7 linked regions of the Sus scrofa genome follow. The protein of the gene in region 7 interacts with the protein of the main gene of each other region in a biochemical or structural test. Links are inferred from orthologs where the notes say so. Each region holds a gene or a part of one and is shown on either strand. Other genes may lie near its edges. The genes, in order: KAT2A, RNF8, UBR2, USP16, MYSM1, RNF168 and histone H2A type 2-C.

What was found.
Region 1: of the proteins of histone H2A type 2-C (region 7) and KAT2A, one has a biochemical effect on the other in vitro, tested with the Homo sapiens proteins (2 studies listed by BioGRID). The link is inferred for Sus scrofa from reciprocal best matches to the Homo sapiens genes H2AC20 and KAT2A.
Region 2: of the proteins of histone H2A type 2-C (region 7) and RNF8, one has a biochemical effect on the other in vitro, tested with the Homo sapiens proteins (2 studies listed by BioGRID). The link is inferred for Sus scrofa from reciprocal best matches to the Homo sapiens genes H2AC20 and RNF8.
Region 3: the proteins of histone H2A type 2-C (region 7) and UBR2 form a complex in vitro, tested with the Homo sapiens proteins (2 studies listed by BioGRID, with this or other methods). The link is inferred for Sus scrofa from reciprocal best matches to the Homo sapiens genes H2AC20 and UBR2.
Region 4: of the proteins of histone H2A type 2-C (region 7) and USP16, one has a biochemical effect on the other in vitro, tested with the Homo sapiens proteins (2 studies listed by BioGRID). The link is inferred for Sus scrofa from reciprocal best matches to the Homo sapiens genes H2AC20 and USP16.
Region 5: of the proteins of histone H2A type 2-C (region 7) and MYSM1, one has a biochemical effect on the other in vitro, tested with the Homo sapiens proteins (2 studies listed by BioGRID). The link is inferred for Sus scrofa from reciprocal best matches to the Homo sapiens genes H2AC20 and MYSM1.
Region 6: of the proteins of histone H2A type 2-C (region 7) and RNF168, one has a biochemical effect on the other in vitro, tested with the Homo sapiens proteins (4 studies listed by BioGRID, with this or other methods). The link is inferred for Sus scrofa from reciprocal best matches to the Homo sapiens genes H2AC20 and RNF168.

What each region holds. Positions count from the first base shown.
Region 1 is NC_010454.4:20,641,493-20,644,728, reverse strand, and holds part of KAT2A (histone acetyltransferase KAT2A), read right to left. Parts: intron 3,025-3,236; coding exon 2,918-3,024; intron 2,725-2,917; coding exon 2,614-2,724; intron 2,529-2,613; coding exon 2,389-2,528; intron 2,305-2,388; coding exon 2,096-2,304; intron 1,860-2,095; coding exon 1,733-1,859; intron 1-1,732. UniProt on the Homo sapiens protein: Protein lysine acyltransferase that can act as a acetyltransferase, glutaryltransferase, succinyltransferase or malonyltransferase, depending on the context.
Region 2 is NC_010449.5:32,959,312-32,962,811, reverse strand, and holds part of RNF8 (E3 ubiquitin-protein ligase RNF8), read right to left. Parts: intron 1,472-3,500; coding exon 1,267-1,471; intron 155-1,266; coding exon 108-154; 3' UTR 1-107. UniProt on the Homo sapiens protein: E3 ubiquitin-protein ligase that plays a key role in DNA damage signaling via 2 distinct roles: by mediating the 'Lys-63'-linked ubiquitination of histones H2A and H2AX and promoting the recruitment of DNA repair proteins at double-strand breaks (DSBs) sites, and by catalyzing 'Lys-48'-linked ubiquitination to remove target proteins from DNA damage sites.
Region 3 is NC_010449.5:37,781,308-37,784,807, reverse strand, and holds part of UBR2 (E3 ubiquitin-protein ligase UBR2), read right to left. Parts: intron 2,277-3,500; coding exon of another isoform or gene 2,222-2,276; exon of another isoform or gene 2,080-2,221; coding exon 1,938-2,079; 3' UTR 1-1,937. UniProt on the Homo sapiens protein: E3 ubiquitin-protein ligase which is a component of the N-end rule pathway.
Region 4 is NC_010455.5:192,379,882-192,383,381, reverse strand, and holds part of USP16 (ubiquitin carboxyl-terminal hydrolase 16), read right to left. Parts: exon of another isoform or gene 2,752-3,500; 5' UTR 2,711-2,751; coding exon 2,650-2,710; intron 436-2,649; coding exon 260-435; intron 1-259. UniProt on the Homo sapiens protein: Specifically deubiquitinates 'Lys-120' of histone H2A (H2AK119Ub), a specific tag for epigenetic transcriptional repression, thereby acting as a coactivator.
Region 5 is NC_010448.4:153,783,240-153,786,739, reverse strand, and holds part of MYSM1 (histone H2A deubiquitinase MYSM1), read right to left. Parts: intron 3,474-3,500; exon of another isoform or gene 3,337-3,473; intron 2,819-3,336; coding exon 2,744-2,818; intron 2,199-2,743; coding exon 2,010-2,198; intron 1,112-2,009; coding exon 979-1,111; intron 1-978. UniProt on the Homo sapiens protein: Metalloprotease with deubiquitinase activity that plays important regulator roles in hematopoietic stem cell function, blood cell production and immune response.
Region 6 is NC_010455.5:133,624,323-133,628,345, reverse strand, and holds the start of RNF168 (E3 ubiquitin-protein ligase RNF168), read right to left. Parts: upstream 2,801-4,023; 5' UTR 2,548-2,800; exon of another isoform or gene 2,313-2,547; intron 2,226-2,312; 5' UTR 2,186-2,225; coding exon 1,885-2,185; intron 1-1,884. UniProt on the Homo sapiens protein: E3 ubiquitin-protein ligase required for accumulation of repair proteins to sites of DNA damage. Acts with UBE2N/UBC13 to amplify the RNF8-dependent histone ubiquitination.
Region 7 is NC_010446.5:99,168,243-99,170,751, forward strand, and holds histone H2A type 2-C, read right to left. Parts: upstream 1,029-2,509; 5' UTR 954-1,028; coding exon 564-953; 3' UTR 501-563; downstream 1-500. Other genes in the region: histone H2A type 2-B, read left to right, coding at 13-405; histone H2B type 2-E, read left to right, coding at 1,279-1,659. UniProt on the Homo sapiens protein: Core component of nucleosome. Nucleosomes wrap and compact DNA into chromatin, limiting DNA accessibility to the cellular machineries which require DNA as a template.

The sequences.
Region 1 (3,236 bases), on a different chromosome or scaffold from region 7:
GAACTGGGTGGGGGAGGGGGAACTCCACTCATCGCAGCATCTGAACCCCCAGAGACAGTGACTTCTGCACACATCAGGATCAAGGAGGCACCATGCAGACCTGTTCAGATCTGTAAAACTGGACAACTAGGGATCCTACTAGGGGGTCTGTTGTAACAATAAAGGACAGAAACCAGAATTATCACCCACCCAGCTCAGGGCTGTTGTAAAACTTATTAACTCCGCAATGTCAAGTAAAAGTTCTTCTGATGAAGGACATACAGATCCACTCAAAAGTGTTGCTGTAGGAGTTCCCATCATGGTTCAGAGGTTAACGAACCCAACTAGCATCCATGAGGACGGTTCGATCCCTGGCCTCGCTCAGTAAAGGATTTAGCATTGCCGTGAGCTGTGGTGAAAGTTGAAGACTTGGCTTGGATCCTGCATTGCTGCGACTGTGGTGTAGGCCGGCGGCTACAGCTCTGACTGGACCCCTAGCCTGGGAACCTCCATGTGCCATGGGTGCAGCCCCAAAAAAGACAAAAGACAAAAAAAAAAGTGTTACTATAATCTGAAGAGGAGTTCCTGTCGTGGCTCAGTGGTTAATGAATCTGACTAGGAACCATGAGGTTGCAGGTTCGATCCCTGATCCCTGCCCTTGCTCAGTGGGTTAAGGATCCGGCGTTGCCATGAGCTGTGGTATAGGTCACAGACTCAGCTCAGATCCTGTGTTGCTGCAGCTGTGGTGTAGGCCGGTGGGTACAGCTCCGATTTGACCCCTAGCCTGAGAACCTCCATATGTCGTGGGAGTGGCCCGAGAAAAGGCAAAAAAAAATAATAATAAATTAAATAAATCCGAAGAGTTCTTATCACAAAGAAAGAATATTTTTTCTATTCCTTTAATTTTGTATCTATATGAGATGATGGACGTTCACTAAACTTACTGTGGTAATCATTTCAAAACGCATATGACTCAAATCACCATGCTGCACACCCTAAACTCACACAGTCCTATGGGTCAGTTTTACCTCAAAAATACTATGAGGGGAGTTCCCGTCGTGGCGCAGTGGTTAACGAATCCGACTAGAAACCATGAGGTTGCAGGTTCGGTCCCTGCCCTTGTTCAGTGGGTTAACGATCCGGCGTTGCCGTGAGCTGTGGCGTAGGTCGCAGACGCGGCTCGGATCCTGCGTTGCTGTGGTTCTGGCGTAGGCGGGTGGCTACAGCTCCGATTCAACCCCTAGCCTGGGAACCTCCATATGCTGCGGGAGCAGCCCAAGAAATAGCAACAACAACAACAACAACAACAAAATACTATGAGGGAGTTCCCGATGTGGCTCAGTGGGTTAAGAAACAGGCTAGGATCCATGAGGATGAGGGTTTGAACCCTGGCCTCGCTCATTGGGTTAAGGATCTGGCATTGGCACAAGCTGCAGTGTAGGCCGGCAGCTGTAGCTCTGTCCAGCCCCTAGCCTGGGAACTTCTGTATGTCGCAGGTGTGGCCCTAAAAAAAAAAAAAGAAAAGAAAAGAAAAAAGAAAGGAAAAAAAAAACCCAACTAGAAGGAAACAGAAGTGTAACTGATTCTTGGGCTCCATTTGTCAACGGGTGTTTCCTTGATTCCGTCATCAACCACAACTGCCACCTTGTGGGAGGGTGAGGAACTGCCTGGCCATTAAAGGAGGGTGGGATGACGGGATCCAGATGAAGAAGCAGGTGGTGGGATGGAGCTGGGGCCAGGGGCATGGACTCACCTTGACCTGCTCATTTGAGGTGACAGCACAGAAGACAATCTCCGTGAAGCCCTGGGTGGGAAACATGCGGAAGCAGATCCCACCAATGACTCGCCCGTCCTTGATCAAGGCCAGAGTCTTGTGCTTCCTGAAGGGAGAGGTGTCAGGTCACAGGCCCTACCTGACCCCAGATACTCCCCAGGACCCCGCAGCTCTGGAGGCCTGAGCTATACTCAGTGCTGGGAACTAAGGAGCAAAACGTGCCCAGGGTTGGAGAGAGGAGTGTGTGTGTGTCTGCGCGCGTGCGTGCATGCACGAGTGCAGTGGAGAAGCCTAAGCGGAGGTGCCTGGGCATGGCAGCGCTGGGCTCTCCTGGGGACGTACGGGTCAAAGACGAGGCGGGCGATATACTCCTTGGGCATGCGCGGCAGCTGGTGCGAGAAGACATTCTGCAGCCCCACCAGCCACAGCAACACCCGCCGGTTGGCCTTGGGCGTGAGCGAGTTGCCGATGACGTGGAACTCGATGATGCCACGGCGCTCCTCCAGGCGGGCCGTCTCGTCCCGGGCTGCATTGGCCGACAGCAGGCTCGTCTGGGCGCCAGAGGAGGGGCGGTAAGCAGGGGGCTCAGGTGGCGAGGCCCCCTCCCCGACCGGTCAGGAAGCCAGGCGGCCCACCTCGGGCCCCAGCATGGCAGCAGGATCCGTGATAGTGAGCATGACCTCGTTGACCAGCTCCATGGGGATGTCGCCCATCACACGGAGCCGCTTGGCATCCTCCAGGGTCAGGTTCTCGGGGAGCTTCCTCTTCTCGCCTGCTGAGGAGGTTGACAAGGTCTCCCGGGGAGAGCAGAAGTTGGGGGAGGGGGGGACGAGGACGGAGGTCAGGGGTCAAGTACCCACCTGGCATGGGCTCGGCTCCTGCGGAGTCCAGGCTCAAGGAGCTGTTGCCACCCCCACCCATGGTGGGGCTGAAGATGGGGGCGCTGGGAACAACCGCGGCACTGACTGTAGCTGAGACACGAAAAAACCAGAGGATGGAGAGCGAAGGCGCTGGCGCATCTTGCAAAGGGAGGTGGACTCTCCCACCCACGGCCGAGCCCTCCCGTGCTTCCCCACTGCCGCCACGCACAGCCCCTCCTCCACAGAGGCGGGGAGGGCCAAGCCGAGAGCCTGCGGAGCCCGGCCGGCCGCACACGGCACATACCCGGCCGGGGCACCATCTGGGTTCCCTCCGAGGGCGGCATGGTGAAGCCCGACTCCCAGATCGGAGAGTTTGCCCCGTAGATCTCCTCCTCCAGCATGGACAGGAATCTGGCGGGGGAGAGGCACAGTCTGTCCCACAGCTCCATCCTCCAACCAAGGGAGCAGCCTGGGACAGACACTGGAGGGACTGGAGGCTGCCCTCAGGGAACTGGCGCCTAAGAACAGAGACGGCCTCTGCCTTCAGATGAGGAGGCACAGCCCCCTGCAATTTCTGGGAGCCCCTCACTGAAGGGAGGGCAACAGAATGATCCAGATCAGAA
Region 2 (3,500 bases), on a different chromosome or scaffold from region 7:
ATTTCTGGTCCTCCTCAAAGTGGCTGTTATCTACTGAAGGACTAGGAGAAAGCATGCAGTAGGCAGATGATCTTGTTCTTAGCAGTGTGGCTTTTAAACCTTCAACTTCACACACACGAACATGGGTTCCCAACAGTCAGATGGTGGGAAGCACCTGGAAGGGAGGTGAACTTTTATTTATTTTTGTCTTTTTAGGGCTGCCAGCTAGGGGTCTAATCGGAGCTGTTGCTGCGGCCTACACCACAACCACAGCAACACAGGATCTGAGCCATGTCTGCGACCTACACCATAGCTCACGGCAACACTGGATCCTTAACCCACTGAGAGAGGCTGATGATCGAACCTGGCTCCTGATGGATACTAGTTGGGTTTGTTACCACTAAGCCACAGTGGGAATCCCACTGGGTTTTTAAAGGGACTGAACATGATAATCAGATCCATCCTGCCTCCAGGCACTCTTCCCCACCCAGTAACCAATCCTTCTGATCCACTAGCTTCCTTGTGCTTTGCCCCAGGAGACACATTCTTCTGCCACAGCGACATTCAAGTCTCATGCAGAGTGGCTCTGCAACCCTCAGCAGTGCAGGCGCCAGATGTGATGACCTCACTTAGTTAAATGAGCAGATAGTCACTACACAAATATGGTTACTTGAGGAAACTCACCCGCTCCTTCCCTAAACTCTTTATCCAAACTCTCTGCCTGGGAAACTTGTTGGTAAATATATTAGGATGTCCAAAGTTAACACAGTAGGATTAAACTGATTTCTTTTTGATTAATATTATGCCTAATTTGTGTAATCAAGCTGTGACTCTTACTGTGAATCTAAATATGTTTTCCTCACATTTCTTGGCATTCTCCAAGGTGTGAGTCTTTTACGCGTACACATCCTATTTATAATTTATTATACACCCAAGGTTTTTAATGACACATGGACAGCAACTAAACTGTCTTGAACAACAGCACCATCTAGTGACCAGCACAGCAAACTGTTTTCTAATCACATCTTTATGCCAGCAACCAAGACATGTACACCCAAGCCATACCATTCCCTGCTGCTCAAATAATAGTTTATTCTACCTCAACTCTTACACATTCACTATCTTTAACTTGCTTTACTTTCCCCCATTTCTTCCAATTCTCACTTAGCTCAAGAATCTTTAAACAAAACAAAACAAAAGAATCATTTATGTTGACTCCTCTCCATCCAAAAAAATCATCCTAAGCCTTTGGTTGAGGGGACTCACCTCTTGTTCAGACCCACTCACCTTTTCGTTCCTTGATGAGAACAACTCGTCGTTCTTTCACTTCTGAGCTCAGATTATCTACCATCTTATTAATGCAATTGTCCAGAACCAGGGAGTGTGTTTTGGACTTGATGTCCTTCCGACAAATGGGGCATTCTACCTTCCGCTTCATCCACTCATTGATACAGAAGGAGCAGAAACTATGGGCACAGTTCAAGGTGACAGCCTAGAATGGGAAGGTGAACACACACATCAGAACTGTCATGGTTACTTCCCCAGGGCCGTTGTGATCCTTGAACTAAGACAGAAGTGAATTCCCAAGGCCAAATGGAAATTTAATCACAGCCTCATCCAGGGGGTTTACAAAGGGTATCAGAATCATTCCTAGGAATGGGAAATTTTAAGCTTCATGTTAGATGATTCATTTTTCTCTCTCAAAGTTAAGTTCCTAGACTTGGCTTCCAGGTAGGCTGATTTGCCTATTCTGTTCCAAACTCAGGTATCTCATGCTGCCAACATGTACCAGCTACTGTGCAAAAAAATGTCACCAGACATAAGAACACTGGTAAGCCTGTGAGTGTTTGGTATAAATACACCGTTAATTCTCTCATGAAAAACAAATGTACATCCTAATGGGGAATTACAAACTCAATTTTAATAGATGCAAGAGAAAAGAGAACTTAAGCTGGGAAAAAAGGAACTAAAAATGGGGGTGAAATGTAATGGGTTCAACTGAGAGTGCCTTAAGTAAAAAAGCCTATGAGAAGAGAGAAAGCAGAAGCAAGTCTGAATCTGAGCAGCTCCTCTGAGGAACCCCAATGATCAGCTAGTTCTGCCCAGGCTCTTTTCACTCCCCCAATATAAGCCATTCTTTGCATTACTCCCTTTTATGTATACCTCCTAAGAAACAACTTTTTCTGAGGCTCAAAAATCTCATTCTGGCTTTCAGGACAGCAGCAGAAAATAACACAGAAATTACGTATTTTCCAAATGCCAAGTTGAGACCAGAAAGCCAACTAGGAGAAGTTCTCAGTAAAGAATGAGATCAATTCTCATAAACAGCACTAAAAACCTGCATGATTAAAATGAAACCTCTTGCAGTTCCTGTTGTGACGCACTGGGAAACGAATCTGACTAGGAACCATGAGGTTGCAGGTTCGATCCCTGGCCTCGCTCAGTGGGTTGAGGATCCAGCATTGCTGTGAGCTGTGGTGTAGGTTGCATACAGTGCTTGGAGCCTGTGTTGCTATGCCTCTGGTGAAGGCTGGCAGCAACAGCTGCAATCAGACCCCTAGCCTGGGAACCTCCATATGCCACGGGTATGGCCCTAAAAAGACAAAAAAAAAAAAAAAAAAAGAAACCTCTTCCCAATACTGACTTTTTTTTTTTTTTTTTTTGTCTTTTCTAGGGCCACACCCATGGTATACGGAGGTTCCCAGGCTAGCGGTCTAATCAGAGCTGTAACGCCGGCCTACACCACAGCCACAGCAATGAGGGATCCGAGCCATGTCTGCGACCTACACCACAGCTCATGGCAATACCAGATCCTTAACCCACTGAGTGAGACCAGGGATCAAACCCAAAGCCTCATGGTTCCTAGTCAGATTCGTTAACCACTGAGTCATGACGGGAACTCCCCAACACGGACTTTAAGAGATGATCAGCAGAAATGGTCAGGCACACCTGCAAATCAAACCCAGGTCAAGTTCTCTCTTCTTCATGCTGTACAGATGCTCTCAATTACCTAACTTAGCACCCATTCCAATCCCTCTTGTCTTCCTCTATTAGAGCCCATAAGCCCCAACAAAACAACACTAACTGAGTTTCTCCAAAGTAGGAAATCAAATGACTAGAAATTGGGGGAAATGACGATCTGAGTCAAAGTGGATCTAAAGCAAAAGAACCAGGTCTATCCAGGAGAGACTTTTCAGGAGGCTACCACACTGCGTCTCCCTAGAGACCACTAGAAAAAAAGCAGCAGTGTGTGTATGAGATCTCTTTTTCAAAGGAGTCTGCCTGGAGTTCCTTCATGGCCCATCGGGGGTTAAGGATCTGGCATTGTCACTGCTGTGGCGCTGGTTTGATCGCTGGCCCAAGAACTTCTGCATGCCATGGGTATGGCCAAAAAAATTCAAAAAGGAATCTGAAAAGCACTCCTTTTTTATTTATTTAACAACTTGAGTCTAACACCTGTGGTGTTAAGATGAATGGGTCACAAATGAGAAATAGTGAAAAAAAAAAAAGTCTGTGCAGAA
Region 3 (3,500 bases), on a different chromosome or scaffold from region 7:
CACAACTTAAAAGCTAAAGGAATGGGGATGTGACAAAGGCCTAAATAAACATTAAAATCATGATGCCCTGGTGATTTAGTGGGTTACGGATCCCGTGTTGTCCCTGCTCTGGTGTGGATTCAGTCCCTGGCCTGGGAATTTATGTACGCCATGGGTATGGCCAAGAAAAAAAAATCATGATGTCATCCACAGCCCACATCACTAGATCTTATGAATGGAAGAAAGGACAGAAGAAGGGGGCAAGTGCTGGGTTCTAATGTGGATTTTCTTTCTGTTGGGTGAGAAGCGCCTCCTCTCAACTGAGTCAATCCTAGGCAAGAAGTGTTAAGGTCATCCTTTCAGAGAAAGGGGTTCTTCACCACCACCCCAGAGAGGAAACAGTGAGTATGGCTTCTGCATCCCCACATACTTTAGCTGAAAGTCTGGATTTTTTTTTTTTTTTTTCAGTCTTTTTGCCTTTTCTAGGGCCGCTCCTGTGGCATATGGAGGTTCCCAGGCTAGGGATCTAATCGGAGCTATAGCCACAGGTCTACGCCAGAGTCACAGCAACGCAGGATCCTAGCCATGTCTGTGACCTACACCACAGCTCATGGCAACGCTGGATCCTTAACCACTGAGCAAGGCCAGGGATCGAACCCGCAACCTCATGGTTCCTAGTCAGATTCATTAACCACTGCGCCATGACGGGAACTCCTGGATTTCTGACCTTCCTCTTGTGTAGAGTGTGCAAAGCTAAGCAGAACGGAAATTTTAGATGCAGTTCAAGAAAACTGAGTGAAAAGGTTACTTGCATTGGCTAAAAAAATCCAAGAACATCTTACTATTCATTTGTCCCTTAGCCTAACCTCAGAGAGGCTCTGTATTTATTTCTCTACCAAATCGGTCCTCACTCTGCGTACCCAAGCTCACAGCACACGTCACGTGTATCACACAGGAGTGGTGTGTGATGTGTCATGGTTATAAGCTATTTTACTAAGCGGCTATCACTCTAGGAAGGCACCTCTTAGTAAGAACAATAATGTTTTAAAATAATAAAAAACCTGGGCACACAGGCTGTCCCAGGAATGTACTAAGTGAGCCAGCAGGTAAACAGCAATTCATCTATCCCAGGAGGTGCTGGAAGGGGTGGGGGTGGGGGAATTTTCCTTTTCTTTTGCTAGTGTTTGATTCTAGATGCACACACTCTCTCAACTTAGTCTCAGAAATAAGAGAATACATTGTCTGAAAAATTATGATACTCTAAGTTTTCAAAAAGCCCTTTGAAATGAGTTTTTTCCCCTCAAAGCCAAAAATCCTACAAAAATCCAAACTTACAAAGCCCTGAAAATCATCCAGCACAGAGAGACACCACCTCCTCCCCTTCCATGCACAGGCTCCACCGGCACGAGTCCCCCCCCAACCCTCCCCCCTCACAGCTTCTGGAGGCAAGGAAATGCCACTTTCAAAGTCCACTGCTTTGCTTAGAGGTAGGGTCCCGTCAGCTGTGGGGACACTGACCCAGTCCCAACGTTGACAGTCACTGAGAGGGACTAAGAAGTGTGACCCCAAGAGACCAGAGACTTTGTTTCCTGCTGCTGTTGAATCAGCTTCAGGCCTGGAGTCCCGGGTGCTCAAGAAGTAGACACGGCTCAGACGACCGGGAACAGCCAAACGCAGTCAGAGGCCCACAGAGGGGCTGTGTCCAGCCCAGGAAGAGAAGCTCCTTGCTGGATTCTAAAATTCAAGAAGTTTGAGGGACACGAGCAAATGATGCAAGAAAATCTGCTGACAGATGATTTTCATCAATCCCTGGAGCCAGAAACTATAAAAATAAAACTGGGAAGAAAAGCTTAAATAAAGACTTTATTTCCAAATTCAGTAGAACCTATTTCCTATTCTCTTTCTTGAAAAGCCGACTGGGTTACAAAATCCAAGTTTGTGTTTTGGTAGTGAAGTAATTATAAATGTTGCCAGTCAATGCCAACCAGTGTCTGATTTGCTTCCTGTGCATGTCCAATTTCCTCTGTGATACTGTGCTGGTGCCAGAGCTTCTGAATCTTCTTAAATCGCTCTTTGCACAAATGTAAAGGATTGCCCCGTCTAGAAAGAAGACACATGTCACTCAGGATGCATTCGGTTCATTCATCTATTATATGCCAACCTTTCCTGATTTAGGAAAAGTTACAAGTTACTGGTCTTCTGCAGATCCTCTGCAAAATTTCTCTTTGGCAGGCGTCTGTGGCTATGAATATGTTAGCTCTGAAGGTTTGCTAGGAACAGCTGAAGGGGAATAAATTCTGAAAAGAGGAAATCGAACACAAGCCACACTTACTCAGATTAGGGTCTGGGACCAGCGGAGTAGGGTTGAGCAGGAGGGTCTAGGTTGAGAGGCTATAAAACTACCCACTCATGGTCCATTTTATTGGAAAAATAGAAAACAGGGAGGGGTAGGGGAGAGGATGGAAGAATTACAGGGATAAAGATGTTCCTTCAAGTACCTTCTTTCAGCTACAAAGCAGCTGAATGTGAACAACTTCAGGGTCTAATGTAACCAGAGCACAGGCCCTGGCGAGTCCCCAGCTGGGAGCGCCAGTGCTCTCACTCTCTGGCTGGGGCTCTTCTTCCTGAGAGCCCATCCTCCTCACAGCAGCAGGATGAACCATTAGCAGGTGGCACAAGCAGTATCCTTGCAGTCAAGCGTCTGGGGAGCCCATCTACTTATCTTGTCTTGGTTTCCCGGCCTTTAACTTCCACTCCCCAAAGCTGGACTTTTACCCACTTTGAGCAAAAAGAAATGGTCTGAAAATTTTTTAATAATACTTGAGGAATTGCTGTTAGCAGAAATTTTTTTTTTTTTTTTTTTTTTTTTTTTTTTTTTTTTTTTTTTAGGGCTGCACTCGCAGCATGTGGAGGATCCCAGGCAAGGGATTGAATCAGAACTACAGCTACTGGCCTATGCCACAGCCATGTAGGATCCAAGCCACAGCTCACGGCAACACCGGATCCTTAACCCACTGGGCGAGGCCAGGGATGGAACCCACAACCTCATGGTTCCTAGTCAGATTTGTTTCTGCTGTGCCACGATGGGAACTCCTAGCAGAACTGCTTTTGATGTAATAGCAGCTACCAGAGTGAAAGTGATTAAGCCTCAAGTATTGCTGTATTGCTCTGTATGTTCTAAATCAAATGCATCTCTTATCAATTAAGATTTGTTCTTCTGTATCACTTGAAGAGTGCTGGCCCTCCCACACAAAGCCACAGAAGCTACAAGGAGCTATTCCTGCAATGCTCCGATGCTATGGATGCCACAGGACAATCAGAATAGCTCTTTGGAGTGAAAAACAAAAAAACTTCACTCTGCCCCATTTCCTCCCCTCCTTATTATCCTGATGGCCCTCGTGACATTCTAAGAGTTGGGAATGGGACTGCCAAACCAGATAGCCAGAGTGACCTCCTTGACAGAGTCCACAGACTGCAGCCAGCTGTGCTCACCCCCCAGGGGGTTATTTAGCAGGCACACC
Region 4 (3,500 bases), on a different chromosome or scaffold from region 7:
TCAGCTGAGGCCCCGTAGCACTGCCTCTTTGTACACATATTACCTCCCTGCTCCCTCACTGTTTTTCTGGCACAGTACCTGAGAACACTCCCCAATAAACCACCTACACACAAATTTCAATATCAGAATCTGTTCCCCAGAGAACATGACATATGCTAGCTAACATTCTGGTTACCCATACCATGCTTTTAGGTAATACCTTCTAAAATAAGTTCAAAGAGTTTAATAAAACCCCACATGAATCAAAATCTAAGCATACCTGATGGCCACATTTAAGACAAAGCCAAACCGAAGGATTTTCTGTTTCTTCTTCAGATTTATCTTTTACTTTATTGTCCGTCTTACAATCTTGGCAAATGTTCCATTCCACATTCACCAAAGCCTTTTTCAAATTACCTTGTTCCAGTCCTTTTCTAATGTGTCTGCATGTGGGTTCTATTAAAACAAATAATAAAGGAGGACATGAGGTAAAATATGACTTTCTTCAGTTAATCTCAAAACTTACACACTTGATTTGAACTTCAAAAATGAATTTACTCTATAAACAAATTGTTAGATAACCCAAAACCTTACATTTTTGTTTGTTTGATATTTGATTATGAGATTATGTAAGAAAGTGATTTTATACAAATTTTGAAGTCCTCCATATAACCACCACCACCCCAAATTCACTTCAATTTCTTTATCACATGCATTATTCTCTTTTATTTTAAAATGTCTGTAGAGAAGGTCCCTCATTCAACAATAGTCAATAGCACAGCCAGCGCAGGCCTGGCACTGTGGTAGATGCCCGGAAACCTAAAAGTGACCAACTCACAGCTCTTTCTTTGAGCAGCTCCATGCTGGCAGGAGAGGCAAATAAGTAAATAAATGTACAAGATGGAGTTCCCGTCGTGGCGCAGTGGTTAACAAATCCGACTAGGAACCATGAGGTTGCGGGTTCGGTCCCTGCCCTTGCTCAGTGGGTTAACGATCCGGCATTGCCATGAGCTGTGGTGTAGGTTGCAGATGCGGCTCGGATCCCGCGTTGTTGTGGCTCTGGCGTAGGCCGGTGGCTACAGCTCTGATTCAACCCCTAGCCTGGGAACCTCCATATGCCGCGGGAGCGGCCCAAGAAATAGCAACAACAACAACAACAACAAAAAAAAAAATGTACAAGAATCTCCAAAACATACTATTGTAGCCCAAAAGAAGGCTAATGTCAATGAAAGTTTCACAAGGGAGGCAATGTCTGTATAATCTTGGAAGATATTTTCAGAAATAAAAATTTATCATATTGTTTAAGCACTTAACCACAAGCCAGAAACTGTACTAAATGTTTGCACACAGTATCTCATTTACTCTGTACAACTACCCTCGAAGGAAGACACTACCATCCCAATGACAGATGAGAAAAAAACTCAAATTTATTGCTTGAGGTCACAGAGCTACTGAGTGGTTATGCTGGAATTTGGACTCAAGTCTTCTTTATTTCAAGCTCATAGTTTAAACTATGACCTCATGGGGTAAAAAACAATCGGAAGAGGCTACATCCTGCAATCAAAGGAATGAAGATATAAATGTAAAAGTGCATGCTGTCTGCTCAGAATGGCAGTCACACGTGTAAAAAGGAGCAGCTGGACTTGAGAATGAAAACCCACTAGGGTCAGATCAGTATCAGGCTTTGCAAGCCATTCTAAAGAGCTTCAGTATTTTCAGGGCCCCTAAAGGTTTAGAAACTCATCAAGTGGCACAATCAGCTTTATGCCCAACGACCTTGCACCAAAAAAATATAACTGCAAATAAGATCACGTGAAAAACTACTAAATCCTAGCAAGTAGCCAAAAAAACACAACCAGAAAAAAGAAAATACTTTTTCAACTAGCAAATCAGCAAAGATTTTTTACAAATGATGCTAACCTGTGTTAATAAGGGTTCAGGGAAATGAGCACTATGTTATCCTGCCAGGGGGCCTATCAATTAGTAACACATTTCTGGTTTTTTTTGTTTGTTTTTTGCTTTTTAGGGCTGCACCTGCAGCATATTGAAGCTCCCAGGGTAGAGGTCAAATTAGATCTACAGCTGCCAGCCTACACCACAGCCAGGGCAACTCGGGATCTGAGCCATGTCTGTGAACTACATATACCACAGCTCACAGCAACACCGGATCCTAACCCACTGAAAGAGGCCAGGGACTGAACCCACATCCTCATGGATACTGGTCATATTCGTTTCCGCTGTGCCACAATGGGAACTTCCTAGTAAAATGTTTCTAAGAACAATTTGGCAACAGATCCAAAGAGCCTTGAAATATTTATGCCATTTAATTCAGCAACTCTAATTCTTGGATATGTAAGGAGAAGATAACCAGATGTGCAGAGTTTTAGCTACAAAAAATGTGTGCTATCACTCCATTCATAACAATGAAGTTAAGACTACCTAAATTTATAACAATAGGGGATTATCTAAATAAATTATGAAATATACACTCATGGTCTTTTACATCACTGGAATAAATATCATGTTGTTAAAATGTTGCAAAGACTATTAAATGACATGTCTACACAAACATGAAGTTAAAACGCAAATTAAAGAACAATAATGTACACTTTGATCCTATTTTTACATATTAAAATATATACCATTAAAGATTTAATTGGTGAAATATACCTAAAGATTCAGAAGAATCATCAATTGGAACAGTTTTTCCCTTTGTCCGTTTCTTTCCCATGTTGGCACTTTATGGATTACTTACTGACACAAAATAACAATCTAGAAGACAAGATAAAGTTAGCTTGACAAAAAAAAAGTATGTTTCACAATTCTCTAGGAGATAGTAATATATCTAAACCACATTTTGTGTGTCTATCATACTTTTATAAGTTATAAAAACCACTCACACATGTAATCTAGTTTTCCATAAGAACTCTGAAGTAGACAGAGTATTACCTCTGTTTTTCATGGCTCAAGAAGCTGATTCTTAGTAAGATTAAGAAATCTACAATAAATGCAAAGGTCATAGGAGGCAACCTATGTCTTTTTACACAGATCTCGAAAAGTCTCAGCACTTTATACACTATTAGGAATTCAACTTCTCACTACGTAAATGTGGAATAGTGGTGGCACTTTGAAATGTAATTTCCCTTCCTTCTAAGCTATCTTTCTTAACTCTTGCAGGTAATGCAATTAGAATGATAATTTCTCAAAGAAAATTTAAAATAATTCTGAGAACAATCTCTGAGAAGGAGTTAGAAAATTTACAAAATAACTTCAAAGCCACATATAAAACACTGTGATACGCAGTGTTGCATTTTTCCACACCAGGACTTGCTATGGATGTTAGCTGAAAATTGATTACATCTACATTCTCAACCATTTACATTATTATTCTTGCCAAAATCAGTTTGGAAGACTATGACAAATCTAGTTCATATCAAATCTTCACCTCTTTGGTCAACAATTCAAAATTTAAAAACATGAAAAACATTGAAAGTACATATAAGTCCATCTAGCTTTATTAT
Region 5 (3,500 bases), on a different chromosome or scaffold from region 7:
AGAGTTTAGTGAGACGGGCTAAGGAGATAAATTACACTGAGAGACGAAAGTGACCATGAAGGCAAGAACACAAATAGAGCAACTAATAATAAATGACATGGGGGGGAGGGGGCGTGGTAGTTCTGAGGTCTTTACCAAAGAGAGGGCATCTAAATGGTATCATTAAAAATGAAGAAATTAATTTGTTAAACATTAGTTTATTACCTACTTTATGCCAGGCCCTGTGCTAGAAACTGAGGATAGAAAAAGAAGTATAGTGTATCTACCTTTAAGGAGCTCAGGAGCTAATGGGGGAAAGTATAACGTAGAGTGACAGTATTCAGAGACAGCAGTGACCCAGAGCAGAGGTATTAAGGATGAAGACAATATGCTAGAGATGCTATTGTTTCTTACGCCCCCTCTACTTTTCCTGGTCTGCTACATTAACTCTCTATCCAGCCAGAGTTGACTAGACCAGAAGTGGGTATAAATCCCAAAGGAACCAAGTCATATGATGGGCTGAACCAACCAAATTATTTCTTGAGATAGAATGGAAACTAAGAGATATAAAAATAATTAGGCACTGTTGAGCCTACACTGGGAGGTCAAGGAGAGCTGGTGATAGGGTGGTCATTATTCTTTGTATTTTTTTCATTTCAATGCCATCACAGAGAAAGCCAGTCTGCCTTTATCAAAAAATTTTAAAAGAACAGAGATTTTGTCTTTTTTTTTTTTTTTTTTTTAACTGCAATGTCTCCAAGGCCATAAATAAGTTTTCTCTATGTCGTAATCCTTTTGCCCAGTGGCCATGGTAACAGTGGGGACTTGAATATAGAAGGAAATCCTAAAAGGAAAGCAGGTGGCTATACTACATGGTATCCAAGCAGTGATGCTCCAGCTGAGGACACAAACTTTTCCATAAAATTGCTTTGCATAGTGATTCAAAAAAAGGAAGGCAGAAGTAGGATAAAGTTGAAGTTGTTTTTGTTGAAAACTTACGGTAAGAGCCATCTGCGCTAACTTCATCACTTATAACAAGGCAGGTAATCTGAGAATAAGGTAAAGGATTATTTCGATTATAGGGACTAACAATCATTCCAATGAACTTTGCACCGCCTCTGGAGAAGTAACTCTACAATTTAAAAAAAGTGTAATTAGTTTCAACTACATACATTTACAAGTTAGTATTTACCCATACTAACATTTTAAACATCTAATAGAAGAAAAGGGAATGCAAAGATGTGTTAAAAAATTCACTTCCAAACAGCAACGAAATTAAGCATCTTTTATATTCATTTTGTACCCTAAATTTTTCAGGCCAAAACATGTTCAAACCAACTTGAAAAGATCACCATTAAAAAGATCACCTGGGAGTTCCCGTCATGGCACAGTGGTTAACGAATCCGACTAGGAACCATAAGGTTGCAAGGTTCAAACCCTGGCCTTGCTCAGTGGGTTAAGGATCTGGCATTGCCATGAGCTGTGGTGTACGTCACAGACGCAGTGTAGGCTGGCAGCAACAGCTTCGATTAGACCCCTAGCCTGGGAACCTCCATATGCCGTGGATGTGGCCCTAAAAAGACAAAAATAAATAAATAAATAAGTAAATAAATAAAACAAAAAAAGATTGCCTGGCCTGCAAGATCTATATTTGGCATCAATACAGTTACAAATCATATTCACTACCCCTCAGCTGTAATCTTTATCAATGTGGTAATAATTTATAAACAGCTGCCTGTGGGAAAAACATCCTAATATCCAATACAAAATGCAGAACAAAACAAAATCTTGTTTCTTCCAAAGATGCAAAATATATTATATTCCCAAATTATTTCAATTCTACCCAGTCCCTGTACCAGTCATTCCCATTATTTTTGAAGGCTCTGGAAGGAATTACCACTGTTATTTTGATGGCCTGTGTGTATTAAGGTAGCTAATTTTTTAAATTTAAACAAACACAATTACTCTTGAGAGAATGTGAGAATATGCAATTATTTACAGACTACATACACAAAGACCTATAAACACACCTGGTATTTGGCTTGAGTGTCAATATCTCGTAAGGAAGGATTAGGATCAAAGGCAGGATGAGAATGATACCATCCAATAACACTATAGCCCCTGACAGCCAAGGTTTCCGAGGCTTGTGTCTGTGAGACAGGATCCATCTCACACTGCAGTCCTGTACTCAGACTGTTACATGGTTCTGCTGCACAGACCTATAAAGGATTAATCCTTAAATGATTACACTTTTACTTTATTGTTTTAGTCCTTTCATACACAGATAAGAAACTTTCATTTGCCTATATCACTGGCAGCCTTTAACTGCAAATGAATTACTCTCCAAAACTGGGGCCGTATGCTAGGAATTCAAAATCCATTTTTCTACCTAAACAAATTAAGAATGTACATATCTGTACATTCTTTTGATGACCCCAATAATTTATGATGATAATTTCTAGCAAATGATATAGAGCAAGTTTCAACTATAAGGTTAGCATAGCCTCTTAGCAGCTGAAGTTTTTTATTGTGAAGGCCAACAAGGAACCAAGGCCTGGCAGCATTTCCTTTTCTTGGTGGTAAAAGGAAACAGATGCTCATTACACAGAATGTCCACCCACCTCTGGGAATATATAACTTTCCACATTTGCATATTCTCATTTATATCATAAACTCTGTATGTTAGTTATATGCACTTAAATCTATAAAAATATTTGGTATGGCAGGACTAAATAATTCTTAAAATTTTAAGAAAAAAACTTACTTCAACTATCCTATCAACTTCTGAGTATCTTCCTCCTAACAGACCAATCACTTCTGCCATAGATACATGAGCATGCTAGAAGAAATACAAAACAGACTCAACTCAAACACAGAGATAAAACCCACCTGAAGAAAAATCAAAATCCCACTTATCATAGGAGAGTAATTTACAATAGCAGTAATTACTTTTTTCTAAAGTAGAGTAGCAGAGTAGAGGAACCAGATGCTAGGCTCAGCATACTAAGGCTTAAGATTTTAGATCTATTTTCACTGCTGGCTAAGAAACTTTGAACCAAACACTAAAACCCTCCAAGATGCCATTTCTTTCATTTACAAAATGAAAATAACATTTATTTTCTCTACTGAGGAAAGGTATCATAAGGATACAAAGAAAAATCACTCTGGGTCCTCCTATGGAAAAACATCATGAACACACACACACAACTATTGGAGGTCTCAGTGTTTTAGCACAAAACGAGAAGCCTCCAAATGCTAAGAGTTGTTCTCTTTGTTGCAGTTATCTAGAAGGCAGCAGACAAGAATACTAGGAGATTAAAATAGGGTTAATGGAATAAACAGTCTGCAAAAACTCACATTAATTTATTTTCTCTAAAATATGGAAACATGCAATTGTTTGGCTTTTCTCCAAAAGAAAAGACTTATTTTTAGATTCCTTGTAAAAGAGGATAGTTAAGATCCAAAATACACGTCTTCCATACTCTCTCTTATGCCTGCAATAAAAATACACAAGAATAGAA
Region 6 (4,023 bases), on a different chromosome or scaffold from region 7:
CAGGCACAGCAAGAAGAAACTGGGACCCCACTGCCCTCATTACAGCCCACTCATAGGGCAAAAAAAGTTCTAGAAGAGTCAAGGAGACCAGAACTAGCATGCCTATGCACTGACCTGTTCCAACAAAGAGAAATAAGCTGTAGTCTCTGCTTCCAGCTAGAGAGCAGTGGCTCAGATGTTTTGCCCAGGGAAAAAAGGCAGGCAGTAAGAACTGAGAGCTCCAAAGATTTCCCTCAAAGACACTGACTTCACAATGAACAGAATATGGATTAGCCCAAGTCTAAAGGCACTCGTGAAAACAATGGCAATTTTAATGGTAAACACTAGCCAGGCAGTTCCTCACAAAGCTAAACATAGAATTACCATATGATCCAGCAATTCCACTCCTAGATATGTACACAAAAGAAATGAAAACACATTCAAACACTTGCACATGAATATTCATATCAGTACTATTGAAATAGCCAAAAGGTGGAAACTACCCAAATGTCCAACAATGGATGAAGGAACAAAATACAATATATCCATAGAGTAGAATATTATTCAGCCATAAAAAGGGATGGAGTACTGATAAAGATAGAACGCGGTAGACTTCCCGTTGCAGCTCAGTGGGTTAACAACTCGAGTAGTATCTATGAGGATTCAGGTTCGATCCTTGGCCTCACTCAGTGGGTTAAAGGAGCTGATGTTGCCACAAGCTGTGGAGTAGGTTGCAGATGCAGTTTGGATCCAGCATTGCTCCGGCTGTGGCTGTGGCACAGGCAGGCGGCTGCAGCTCTGATTCAACCCATAGCTTGGGAACTTCCATATACCACAGGTTTGGCCCTTTAAAAAAAAGAAAAGGAAAAGAAAAGAAAAGGAAAAGAGAAAGAAAGAAAGAAAGAAAGAAAGAAAGAAAGAAAGAAAAAGAAGGCGGCATGAAACATTATGCTAAGTGAAAGAAAACAGACACAACAGATCATTCGCTGTATGAATACACTTACATAAATTATCTAGAACAAGCAAATTCACAGAGATTAGAAACTCCGAAAAGCAGGAGTGGGATGGAGTAAGGAGAATGGGATGCTTAATGGTTAAAGAAGTTGTCTGGTGTGATGAAAGTTTTGGCAACAGTGGTGACAGTTTCCAAACACTGTGAAAGTAATTAATGACACTGAATTGTACACTTAAAAATGGTTAAAATGGCAAATTTTACCATAATAAAAAGAATTCCCAAAAAAAGCAAGTACACCAGAGCATCCACATCACATTTAAGCCTGGAGAAGAAACACTGCAGGGCTTAATGACCACATAAGTGGTCAAGCCGCTAAAGTCTGGGGGCAAAATGAAGAGTTGTTAAGTCCACACTGTGGAGGGCTTTGAATAAAAATGACTGAACTAGAGGAAACTGGCCACAGAAAGCTATTTTAGGCTTGTTGAAAGCTTAAGAACTAAATGAATGGAGATGTATAGGCAAGAAAGTTAGAGAAAAGTAACTGAAAATAAAAAAAATATTAACACAGGAATCCAGCAGTTTCCTTACTTCTGCTGCTGCCATACTGACTGTTGCTCATCTGTGACTATTTATATAACTTTCGACACAATTTAAGACCCTAGTAGGTAATTCTTTTGTTTCTTTTTTTTTTTTTTGGTTTTCTTTTCATTTTTAACCCAACAAACACCGACCAAACTAAGCCTATGCCTTAAAACAATGAACCAAATCTTGCCATTGTGACCTTAACCAACATTTTAGGGCCCATTAAACTCAAAGATGTGAAAAATTTGGACAAATACTAACCCAGATTTTCTTTTTTTATCCTTGAAAAAAAAAAAAAAGACTAGTGATGATTCGCTTTTTAAAAGATTTTGGTTTTTAGACAATGAACAAGCTGGATTTTTACTCACCAATTTCCTCTGATTCTTGCCCAGAGGCTCTAAGCTTGCATTCTTTTGGATAGTGTTTCTGAATTATCTTCCACAGTTCCATGTTGACAAGAGAATTTGTTCGGGTGCGGTGTCGAGTCCACGAAGAGACTCGGCGGCGACAGAAGGGGCAGCACAAATTTGCTTTTTCGACAGTCGACTGGAAGCATGGTTTACACAGCGTGTGGTTACAAGGGAGTGTCACAGGCTCAAATAGAATTTCCACACAGATCTGGCACTGGCATTCCGACAATGAAGGGATGGCGTCCTTGGGTACAGCCATTTTAATATGCTAAAAAGGCATATTCAATCAACATCAACACCTGAAAGAGAAAGAATCCTCATCTACAGCCCAAGTTCGGAGAAAGCGAATTAAGTTTTGTGTTTAAATTTTATGCCCAGTAGCCTACCAGAATTCAGAGACTGGGAACATCAAATGTCTTTAAAGCAAAAAAGTGTTCTGAGGGTCAGGTAAACAGTACGACCGTGGAAGGAAGTGTGTTTGTCCATGTTAAGACAAACGTCCGAAATGAAAACAAATGAACCTTGACTGCTCCCAGCATTAACAGCCGTTGCGGCAGGGCGGATGGTGGGCTCTCTGGCCCCCGCAGGAGGCACGCGCCAAGTTCCCCTCCTTTCTCTTACCAGGTGAGGATGCTCCCGTAGCTCCCGGAAGCCAAGCCGCAGACCGCAGAGGCGCGCAGCTACGCAGCCACCGCTAGAGGAAGAACGCTTCTTCCGCCCGGACGAGGAGCTCCGAAGGAGTAGGACTTCCGTTTTACCATTGTCGGGGGCCGCGCGCGAGCCCTTCCGGGCGCTCTGAGCCCGCCCCTCCCTCTCTTCCATCTACCCAAAAGCCTAACCTTGGCGCGGTGCTGTAGCAACCCGACAAGGGCTAGTGACGTCACGACTGCCCGCCAAAACAGCCCCTCCCACCTAGAGAACCAACCAAAGGTAGAGAGGGCTAACATTGGGGCGGGACTTCCGAGTCTGCGCGCGCTGCCCGACCCGAGCCCCGCGCCCCGCCCCCCCAGAGCTGGTCTTCTCGGTGTGTTGCAGTCCTTTCTTCGCAGACCCTGCGTCGTCACATTGACTGCACTTTAGTATTTCCCTCTTGATTTCTGCTCCCAGAGGCTGCAGAAATCAGGGTATGTCGCAAGGTTGGTCTCTTGTCAGAAAAAGTGAAACTTAAAGGCAAATTAAAAGCCGATGGAGTTCCCGCTGTGGCGCAGTGCTTTAAGGGTCCGGTTTGCCGCGGAGGCTAGTTTGATCCTTGGCCCTGTGCAGTGGGTTGGGGATCCCAGATTGCTGAAGCTGCTGCATAGTTCTTACCTGTGGCTTGGATTCGATCCGTGGTCCTGTCACTCTTCTGTGCAGTGGGTGCGCCCCCCCCAAAAAAGCTTGACAATAATTTTTAAATTCTTCCCTTAGTACTCCTCAAACTACCCTTGTTTCTTTTCATTTGTAAGGAAGCCTCTTAGGTCGCTTTCCAGAGTTCTTGTAAAAGCATCTCTAGGATGATTTCTGAGAAAGGCTGTGGTCAAAGAATCTGCAAACTTGCTACAATTTAACAGGTACTTGGGAAACAAACTGTAGGACTGGCAGGATCCTGGGGCTTAGCCAACATGTGCATCAATTATAAGGCACTGCTTTATTGTTTAATTTCAGTCTAGACCAATCAAAATTACAAAAGAAGTCAAAAGGAAAATATTTTAACTTTATGCATTTTGAAATGTTTTCCCACTTGGTTTTGTTAAGGCAGCTGCTCAACAGCCCTGCGCTGCAGCGTATCAGCTCTAGCGACAGCCCTGTGGCTGCAGTGTTTCAGCTCTTTTACCCAGGGAGAAACCAAGTGAGCACTGGGAAAGTTGGAGAATTCACGTTTATTATGCCGGCAGGCTCAGAGGAGATTGCTCTCCAGAGTCTGAGCCCGGAAGAAGTCTTTCACAAAGTTTTTATGGGCTACCTCTTCTGAGCTCCTGCTTGGCGGACCAGAGTGAGGTCAGGCAAGGTAGTAGATGCGGAAGCAAGCTTACTGCAGCAGATGCGTGAGGGAGGGGTGGTTAGGGGCAGGTGGCTGGACTTTGCTTAGTCATCATGACGGGGGGGGGGGGGGTGTCT
Region 7 (2,509 bases):
TTTTTAGCCGTAATGTCAGGACGCGGAAAGCAGGGAGGCAAAGCTCGGGCCAAGGCCAAGTCGCGCTCGTCCCGGGCAGGCCTGCAGTTCCCGGTGGGGCGAGTACACCGCCTGCTGCGCAAAGGCAACTACGCCGAGCGGGTGGGGGCCGGCGCGCCGGTGTACCTGGCGGCAGTGCTGGAGTACCTGACCGCGGAAATCCTGGAGCTGGCGGGCAACGCGGCGCGAGACAACAAGAAGACGCGTATCATCCCTCGCCATTTGCAACTAGCCGTGAGAAATGACGAAGAGCTCAACAAGTTACTGGGGGGTGTCACTATTGCCCAGGGCGGCGTCTTGCCTAATATCCAGGCAGTCTTGTTGCCCAAGAAAACGGAGAGTCACAAGCCTGGCAAGAATAAGTAATCAGGCCTGACACCATCCCCTTTCACCCCAAAGGCTCTTTTAAGAGCCACCAAAGTGTCAAATGAAGGGCTGATCACAGAATAGCGCGTTAGCTCTTTTTTTGAAAACTTGGGTGGCTCTAAAAAGAGCCTTTGGTCTTTGGTTTACTGTGTCAGGATTTATTTGCTTTTGGCTTTGTGGCTTTCGGTTTTCTTTGGTAATAGGACAGCTTGGATGTTGGGCAAGACGCCGCCCTGGGCGATGGTGACTTTGCCCAACAGCTTGTTCAGCTCCTCGTCGTTGCGGATAGCCAGCTGCAAGTGGCGGGGGATGATGCGCGTCTTCTTGTTGTCTCGCGCCGCGTTGCCCGCCAGCTCCAGAATTTCCGCGGTCAGGTACTCGAGGACCGCCGCCATGTAGACGGGCGCGCCGGCCCCCACCCGCTCGGCGTAGTTGCCTTTGCGCAGCAGGCGGTGTACTCGCCCCACCGGGAACTGTAGGCCTGCGCGGGACGAGCGTGACTTGGCTTTTGCGCGAGCCTTACCTCCCTGCTTGCCACGACCGGACATGACTGAAAAGAAGATTTAGAAGCCTAAACCCAGATTCTCGCAATAAACAAGATTGAAAGATCAGCAACTGGAAAGCCTTTATAAGCTTTCCTAGGGGTGGGGTCAGGAACGAGTTTTTCATTGGTCCTAAATTGGCTCCAGAAGTGGCCAATAAGGTCAAGCGTCGGTGTTGTTGCGTAGACATTACTGATAACGCAAGGTCTCTACACGGTCCAATGGAAACCGAAGACTTTTGGAGCCTTAATTTGCATACGGTGGTTATAAAAGGATCAGGCCCGCCCATTCTCATACTTCTTTTCTTTGCTAAACGGTGTTGTGTTCCACAATGCCTGAGCCAGCAAAATCTGCTCCCGCGCCCAAGAAGGGCTCGAAGAAAGCCGTCACCAAAGCCCAGAAGAAGGACGGCAAGAAGCGGAAGCGCAGCCGCAAGGAGAGCTATTCCATCTACGTGTACAAGGTGCTGAAGCAGGTGCACCCGGACACGGGCATCTCGTCCAAGGCCATGGGCATCATGAACTCCTTCGTCAACGACATCTTCGAGCGCATCGCGGGCGAAGCGTCCCGCCTGGCTCATTACAACAAGCGCTCGACCATCACGTCCCGGGAGATCCAGACGGCCGTGCGCCTGCTGCTGCCCGGCGAGCTGGCCAAGCACGCCGTATCCGAGGGCACCAAGGCAGTCACCAAGTACACCAGCTCCAAGTGAGTCCCTGCCGGGACGTGGCGCTCGCTCGAGTCGCCGTGCCGCTTGACTCCAAAAGGCTCTTTTCAGAGCCACCCACCTAGTCACCAGAAAAGAGCTTTGTTCACTTGTTTTCCCTCTTAGTTCCTTCTCACAAAGTAAGTTCTAGTTGGTTAAAAAGGTCTTGTAAGAAGGCATTCGTACCTTTTTAAGCTCTTCCGACTTGAGGTTTCTGGTGCGTGATTGGCTTTGCTTTTGAATGTAGGGCGCGTCTTAACTCCCTTTCTGGGCTGCTTAGCTTTACTATGAGTCAGTTCTAAATTAGGATATTGAGACTGCTCCTCCCAATCGTCTGATCCTAGACTGTTGTATCCTGGTGGCTCTGTTGGATACGTCTCGTTGGTGTTCCAAAACTGATTTCGGGCTATTCTCATTTAAGAAAGGACCCCAGAACATAACTAAGCCCAGGTCCTGCGAACACTGCGTCACAGCCCTGAAGAATTGTCCAGAGAAACTGGCAGCTGCTTGAGTGCCCGGTCGCCAGTTATGCCCTGAGATGTAGCCTCCTGTGGATACCCGCTGCTAGGGTACTTCTTGCGGAGCCCGCGCTGCCTGGTCTCAGCCTTTTCCTGATTGGACGACATGAATATTCAAAATCTCCCGCCGGCGCTCACTTGGGCCCTTTGAAATCCCTATTTCTGTTTGTGGATCATTTTTGCATTCAGTTCTCTCTTCTTGGAACGCTCCGGCCTCGGGTCACTGCAAGGCGCTGGTCGTTTTAGTCTGGGCTCAAAAGTCACCTCTTGGAGACCTTCCCAAGTCATCCACTCAGGAATTTGCGTCTCTTGTTCCTGCCTGTACTGGTCCCTCACTG